Cricetulus griseus: one gene and its partner. The protein of the gene in region 2 purifies or fractionates together with the protein of the main gene of each other region. This does not show direct contact. Links are inferred from orthologs where the notes say so. Each region holds a gene or a part of one and is shown on either strand. Other genes may lie near its edges.

Evidence for each region. Proteins that work in one complex are often made in the same cells at the same time.
Region 1: the proteins of Usp18 (region 2) and Stat2 purify together in Homo sapiens (affinity purification with western blotting; 6 studies listed by BioGRID and IntAct, with this or other methods). This does not show direct contact. The link is inferred for Cricetulus griseus from reciprocal best matches to the Homo sapiens genes USP18 and STAT2.

The regions. Positions count from the first base shown.
Region 1 is NW_023276806.1:129,601,103-129,605,262, forward strand, and holds the start of Stat2 (signal transducer and activator of transcription 2), read right to left. Parts: upstream 2,892-4,160; 5' UTR 2,726-2,891; intron 1-2,725. Other genes in the region: Apof (apolipoprotein F), read right to left, coding at 3,396-4,160. UniProt on the Homo sapiens protein: Signal transducer and activator of transcription that mediates signaling by type I interferons (IFN-alpha and IFN-beta).
Region 2 is NC_048601.1:23,648,363-23,652,008, forward strand, and holds part of Usp18 (ubl carboxyl-terminal hydrolase 18), read right to left. Parts: intron 396-3,646; 5' UTR 290-395; coding exon 142-289; intron 1-141. UniProt on the Homo sapiens protein: Interferon-induced ISG15-specific protease that plays a crucial role for maintaining a proper balance of ISG15-conjugated proteins in cells. Regulates protein ISGylation by efficiently cleaving ISG15 conjugates linked via isopeptide bonds.

The sequences.
Region 1 (4,160 bases), on a different chromosome or scaffold from region 2:
CTGGTCTCGAACTCACAGAGATCTGCCTGCCTCTGCCTCCCGAGTGCTGGGATTAAAGGCGTGGGCCACCAACGCCCGTCTTGGCTCAGTGTTTAAGAGCACTTGTTGCTCTTTTAGAGGAGGAGTTTTTGATTCTTAACACCCACGTGGCGCTAAATTCCATTCCTAGGGGATCGATTGGATGGATGCCCTCTTTAGACTTCTGAGAATATCAGGCACTTAGGTGGTATGCCTACATACATATACACAAAACTCAAAAACATAAAAAGAATCTTTAAAAGACACAGAAAATAGCCGGGCTGTGGTGGTGTACACCTTTAGTCCCAGCACTTGGGAGGCAGAGACTGGCAGATTTCTCTGAGTTAGAGGCCAGCCTGGTCTACAGAGTGAGTGCCAGGACAGCTAGGGCTGTTACACAGAGAAACCCTGTCTTGAAAAAAAAAAAAAAAAAAAAAAAAAAAAAACAAGATACAGATTACATTGCTTCTATTCTCGGTTTTGGTTTCTGTCCTTTCTCTCTAAAGATAGTTCTTATTACAGTTTACTTTAGTTTTTCCAGGGAATACTATTAAATAGTTGTCATATGTAGTACTTTTTGTTTACTAGTAACTTTCAAGACCTGAGCCTGGTGGCACATGCCTGTAATACCAGCACTTAGCAGTTGGAGGCAGGAGCATTAAGGGCAGGCTCAGCTACATAGTGAATTTAGGTCAGGCAGGGCTGCTGTGGATCATTTGTTGTTGTTGTTTTGTTTTAAAGGTTTTATTTATTTATTATGTCTTCTGCCTTCATGCCAGCAGAGGGCACCAGATCTCATTCAAGGTGGTTGTGAGCCACCATGTGGTTGCTGGGAATTGAACTCAGGACCTCTTGGAAGAACAGTCAGTGCTCTTGACCACTGAGCCATCTCTCCAGCCTGTGGATCAATCAGTTTTTGTACACTGTGAATATGTATTACCCTCAATGGTTAATAAAGAGCTGACTGGCCTATAGCTGGGCAGGAGAGCCACACTAGGAGAATGCTGGAAAGAAGGGAAGAGTCTTAGGAGTCGCCAGCCAGATGCAGAGGAAACAGGACGTGTACAAAATGAGGTAACAACACATGAACTGCACGGCAGTAAGTAAAGGAATATAAATGGGTTAATTTAAAACATAAGAGCTTGTGGAGTTTGACTTTCAGGATGTTGTGAGTCTCCCAGTTTGGGTGCTCAGAACTGAACCCCAGTCCTCTGCAAGAGCAATGAGCTCTCTTAGCCACTTAGCTGTCTCTCCACCCACCAAGAGCCAATTTTTCATTTTAGCTTTCTAATAATAATCCTTGACCGCCCCTTGCTGGAGATCAAACAGAGGACCTCTCTTGTGCTCTGTGAATGCTCTAGCTGAACTACATAACTACAACATCAGACAGGTATTTGACTCTTTTATTTATTTATTTATTTATTTATTTATTTATTCCAGACAGGGTTTCTCTGTGTAGTTCTGGCTGTTCTGGAACTCACTCTGTAGCCAGGCTGGCCTTGAACTCAGAGATCCACTTGTCTGGGTGTTAAAGGTGTCAAGAGTGCTGGGGTCAAAGGTGTGCACCACCACCACCACGCCTGTATTGCTTTTAAGAAACAAAAACATTGCTGTGCGGTGGTTGCACAAGTCTTTAATCCCAGCACTTGGGAGGCAGAGGCAGGTGGATCTCTATGAGTTTGAGACCAGCCTGGTCTAAAAGAGCTAGTTCCAGGACAGGCTCCAGAGCTACACAGAGAAACCAACCCTGCTTCAAAAAACAAACAAACAAACATCATTTTAAAGACAAGATCCCAGTTCTTCAGGAATTAAAGGACTAGTATCCAAGCAAGGGAACAAGTAAATTCTGAGATTTAAATAAGAAACCAAACATAAGAGAAAAAAAAAGTTGCTGGCTGTGGTGGTGCACACCTTGAATCCCAGCACTGGGGAAGCAGAGGCCCAGCCCGGTCTGCACAGCAAGTTCCAGGACAGGCAGGGCTAAACCCTGCCTCAAAACAAACAAGTCTTCCTAAGTGGACTGTACTGCGGTTATGGGAGCTGCAAAGTGCTTTCTCTAGCTTCACCCTCTCAATTTTACACTAAATAAAATTTTCTGAAATAAACTAGACTGTGTGTGTAACCTTAAGCAAGCAGTTTCATCTCCCAGGACTTTACAGTTTATATTTGTATATATATTTGATATATATATTTGATTGTATGTATATATGCATATATACATACATAACAAATAAGGATGTCCGTGTTTTCATTTATTTATTTATTTTGGTAAGGATAAAATATTATGCAAAGGGGCTGGGAACACAGCTCAGCGGGTGAGAGCTCTGGCTGCTGTTCCAGACGACCCCACTGGGTTCGATTCCCAGCTCCCACATGGCAATTTATGACCAGCATTCCAGTCCCAGATCTGACGACCTCTTCTGACCAACACAAGCACTGCACGGATGTGGCACACAGACAAAGCATGCTTACAAATTAAATAACAAACAGATGATAGACAGATAACGCTTTGGCTTATGACAAGGGTCAAATGCTGCATGCCAGGCTTCAGGGTTTGCGGAGGAGTTTTGGAAGAAGGTCGACAGGGCTGAAAAGTAAAAGCAAAGCGAGGGTGTGACATCCCGGACAGGGGCATCCCGGGGGCAGTGGCCCTTCCCGAGATCGAACTCACGCCTCCCTGCTCCGCACACGCTCTCCGGGCCTGTACCTTCTGAGGCTCCGGTGCCGCTCCTCCCAGTGGCTCCCGCGGCAACTTCCACTCCTCCGGGCGGCTCAAGAACCCCACCCCGCCCCTGACTTCGGCGGACCCAGACCGTGATCACCGGGCCCTACGGATTCGCCGTTCCGGGCTCTGGCTGAGGCTCGCCCACGCCCTTCCCACGTCACGCCCTCATTGGCGGAGTCCTGGCCCCGCCCACCACCGGGCTGGGCGAGCTGCTGGAAACCACACCGCCGAGCTCCGTGTTTGGCGAAGAGGCTCCCAGAGGGGCGGAACCCAACTAATGTCATACCCAAGAATTCAAGCAGCTGACTTTCCCGAACCTGCACTCCCAGGAAAAGGAAACGAAACCAGAGCGTGCAGAGGCACCAAGGACTCCGCAGAAGGGGTGGGACTTGCATTTCGATACTTTAGGTAGGGAGGGAAGAGCCGAGGCACATATTTTTGAGGACATAATGATAAATACCATAGGATCGTGTTATCAGTTTTTAATTTCCATAACCACTTGTTCAGGTGAAAACTCACTACTCCCTCATTAGAAACATAAAAAACTGAGTTTCAAGAAATGACTGGCAAGTGATGACAATACCCCAAACCCATCCATCCATCTATACTACTCCTTCTCTGTCAGAATTTTCCATTTATTTGTTGTTTGTTACTACCTCTTGTATGCCCAGATACTGTAGTCCTGTTCCAAGGCTTGGTCCCAGTAGGAAAATGTACTTTCAACTTCTGACACCAAAGTAGTCATGGTTGTTTCTTCGAAGTCACGGTCTTCCTGCACGGTCTCCGGCAGAGAGAGGCTCACCTCTTTCTCGTCATAATAATATCGGATCAGCTGCTGAACCCCAGCCTTCAATGCTGGCTTAAGAGTAGCACTTATCACCACACCAGCCGGCCCCCCTGACACACCCACCATGGCCATCAAAAGGTCATAACCCAGATCTAAGGCTCCCTCTTTGCCTCGCTCCTTGGCCTTGTCGGAGCAGTTCTGAATGGCATAGTACAATGCTGTGCCTAGATTGTAGTAGGTCCCCACTGCCGGCAGCAGCCCAACCACACTGTGCACACTCTGCTCCCGCTCATTGTCACAGGCTGCGTTAGAAAGAGAGCGTGGGACCCTCTTTGGACCTGGCTGCTCCCAGGCTAAGAGCTGCAGAGCAGAAGATAAGGCGTCTACCGACACTTGCTGGTCCTCAAGTCCACCTTTCTGGAGCTCTTGGAGATGGTGGATGAGGGCCTGTGTAGCCTCCACACCTCCCAGTCGGTAAAGCTGCCGCTGCAGAGCCCAGACATCAGCCTGGCAGCCAGCTTCCTCCAGAGCGTTCCTCAGAGCCAGGCCTACCAGGAACTTGGGGAGAGGGGGCATGTGAGTGAAGCCAGGCAGGGACTTTGGGAGCAGGACCTGGCAGGACAAGGGGTC
Region 2 (3,646 bases):
ACAGGACAAGGCAAATGAAAACTCCAGGGGCAACAGGTTTCAGCTGACAAGTCAGCAGACGAAAGTCACTAGCACAAAACTAATGTGGGGTGTGCCACTTCCAAAACAGAGTGGGTAAGAGAGAGAGGAGGCTCTACTCACCATGAGGGCGGTCCCAAGCACCACAGTGTTCTCTAGACAGCCCCCTCTTCCTCGTCATGCTCTTCTCTTTCTCCAGTTCTGAGGGGCACTGAGGCTCAGCCACCTCTAACTGGCAGGTTTTCCTCAGGAGCCCAAACCCTTTGCCCATTAGTGATCACGCCCAAACCCCGAGTCTGGGACTGCCTGACTAAGGCTCGGGATTCCACGACTTCACTTCCTGGAAGGGTCCACACAAGCCAGACACAAAGGAACCTCTGTGGGAACACAAAGCAGCAGATGACAGTGAGATGGGGACACACCCATGTCATCAGCTCCAACTGCTAGAGGCAGCCTGGCTTAGCTCTGAAACAGGAATTAATGACAAGCTGGACATCCCCAACCCTTCTTCTAACTTTCCATTCCTCAGCATGGACTGTCATTGTCCTAACGCTGGCCCTCTTCCTGGGTTCCCCTTCTCAGTAAATGGTCTAGAACAAAAACCAAGGGTCTCCTTGCCCCTGACTCTCAATCCATTATAGATGAAAAAGGTGTCGATACCACTAGCTAGAGACTGCCCACAAGCAAACCCCTTGCTCTGCACATTCTTGACCCCGTGGGACATGCCTTCAGACATCCAAGATCCTTCCTCTGGGAAGCTTGTCCTAGGTCCTCGGGAAGGCTCTGTGGCCGCCTATGCTTTAAGTGCTTTGGGCACAAAGTTATTCAAATTCTGATGTGAGGACTATGTGTCTCTATGTGGTGTGGAATTGGTGACTCGCAGCTCAGGCTCCCCCTTCAGCAGTCAGCCCTTCCCAGACCCATAGGACAACTGTATTCCTTTCACCCAAACCAAAGACTCAGAAGCACAAGATTGTAGTATAGATGAGGAAATGTACTATGATCGGCCAATCCTCGTTCTTACTTCCTCCTGACATCACAGGCCTCATCCACCTGTAAACCCTCCTCCCAAAAATTCTTTGGGATTCCCCGGGAGGTCTCGCATGTGATTCAGAACAAAAGTCGAAACTGCTGTGCCAGGCCTCACCTGCGTCTCTCCATTGAGCCTGGGTCCTGCAAGGCACTGCCAGGCACAGAGGCCAGCCTTAAAGAGCACTCTGGCATCTTCAACTAGGAATGATGCGAAAGTGGAAACCACCCAGCTATCCTCAGGGGCGTGTGCCCTTTGAATCCCCCAGTTCCTTCTGAAAGGCTTCAACTTCTGCCTGCAGCTTCCTTCTACTCCTCATCCTGTCCACAAGCCTAAGCTGGAGCGCCTCGTTCTCTGTGTCTCCTCCTCTCTAGCCAAGGCAGATGCACAACCCCAGAGTTCCTCTGTGTTTCTCTTTCCCCATGGGCAAGTAAGTGGAGAGGCCTGAGAGCCCATTGGCTATGAAACACTGAATCAGCTGGGTTCAGTGAGGGCCCTCTCACTTACAGTCTTTTCGAGACAAGCTGGTGTTGGGAGTCTTCCTCGATTGCCCTCCATCTAATTCATTGAGGCAGGGTCTCTCAGGTGACCCAGGGCTGGCCAATATAGTCCGATCTAGCTATCAGCTTACTCCATGGATTCCCTGCCCCCACCTCTCAAGCATTAGAATTGCAGGGAGACCACCATGCCCAGCTGGCATCTACACAGGTATAGGGATCCCAAGCCCTGGCCTCACATTCACACAGCCAACATTTTACCTAATGAGTTATTTTCGCAGCCAAAAGGTAAGATTTCTTTAATTATTTATCTATTTTCCAGTCTGTGTAGATTTACGCTCATGAGTGCAGTTGCCCTTGAAGACCAGAAGAGGGTGTCAGATTCCCCCTTGAGCTATAGGCTGCTGTGAGCTGCCCAAACTGTTTGGCAACAAAACTCGGATCCTCTGCAAGAGCAATGTGCACTCTCAACGGCTAAGCCACCTTGTCTTGTTCCAGTTGATAGTCTGGCCAATGGAGAGAGCCAGTCAGAACTCAGTGGCTAAAGGAGTGGCCTAAATCTGGTTGTGAGTATAAGAGGATATTTCATGGAAGAAGTCGGTCTGTAACTGTGGTTATTAAAGACAAAAGAGCAGAAGGGTGTGAGTGTTAAGGCTGTTAAACCAGATATGCTGCTAAACACCAGTAATTCTAGCACTGGTGAGGCTCAGGAAAGGGAATAACAAGTTTGAGACCAGCCTGGACGACAGAATGAGACCCTACTGAGAGAACAAGAATCTGAATCTTGATGCAAGAAAGGTAATATGGGCGGTGTGCAAAAGTTTGGTGTTTGGAGAAAGGGGATGTGGGTAAGTTTATGCAGAGTACTTTAAGAAGATTTGCATAAGGAAATTCAAACTCAAAACGGAAGGAAGTACAGTCTAGAAATTTACTAACTGGTAAGCTAACAGTCATGGAAACCCAAATCAAGACCATAATAAGACATCCTTTTACACTTTCCATCTGGGAAGAGTCAGCAATTCTGACAGAATCTGATCATCGCACACCACCAATGTGCTGGAGTGAAAAACCATTCATGATGCTTCTATTATAAATGTGTAGCTGGGAAAGAGGGGTGTTTGGTTGTTTTGGCTTTGCCTTTGTTTTGTTTTTTAAGATTTATTTATTTATTTATTTTATGTTTGAGTACTCTATCTGCATGTATGCCTGCAGGCCAGAAGAGGGCATCAGATCCCACTATAGCTGCCTGTCAGGAACCAAGTGGGTGCTGGGAATTGAACTCAGGCTCTCTGAAGACCAGCCAGTCTCTTAACCACTGAGTCATTTCTCCAGCCCCCATTTGGTTGCTTTTTGAGACAAGATGCTTACTCATAGCCAAGACTGGTCTCAAACTCAATCCCCTTGCCTCAGCCTCCTGAGTTTCAAAATGACAGGCAGCAATGCCACCACACCCAGTAAAATCTGTATAATTCCTATGTGTCAATTAAAAACAACATATATTTAAATTTTTATTGAGCCAAGCATTGGAGGAGGTGTGGGTAAATAAGATTCAAAACAAAACAAAACAAAACAAAAAAACTTTGGTGACAGGGTTTCTCTGTGCAGCCCTGGCTACTCTGAAACTCACTGTGTAGACCAGGCTGGCCTCAAACTCAGAGATCTGCCTGCCTCTTCCTCCAGAGTGCTGGGACTAAAGGTGTTTGCCACCACCTCGTGGCTAGATTTCTTCTTTTCAAATATGAGCAGAGTGTGTGTGTGTGTGTGTGTGTGTGTGTGTGTGTGTGTGTGTGTGTGTGCGCGCGCGCGCGCGCGCGTGCACGCGCGCCACAGCACACATGCAGAACTCAGAAGACACCTCAGCTGAGTCGGTTCTGTCTGGGAATTGAACCCAGGCCCCCCACTTGTGCGACAAACACCTCTACCTTCTGAGCCATCTTGTTAGACCTAAACATGTTTTGATTTTTTTTAAGATTAAAGTTTCTTACTGTGTTAATTTATCTTATTGTGTATCATGTGGACATGAATTGCCACAGCACACAAAAGGAAGTCAGGGAACAATTTGTTGCAGTCAGTCTTCTTCTTTCACTGTTTTGGGTTTTTT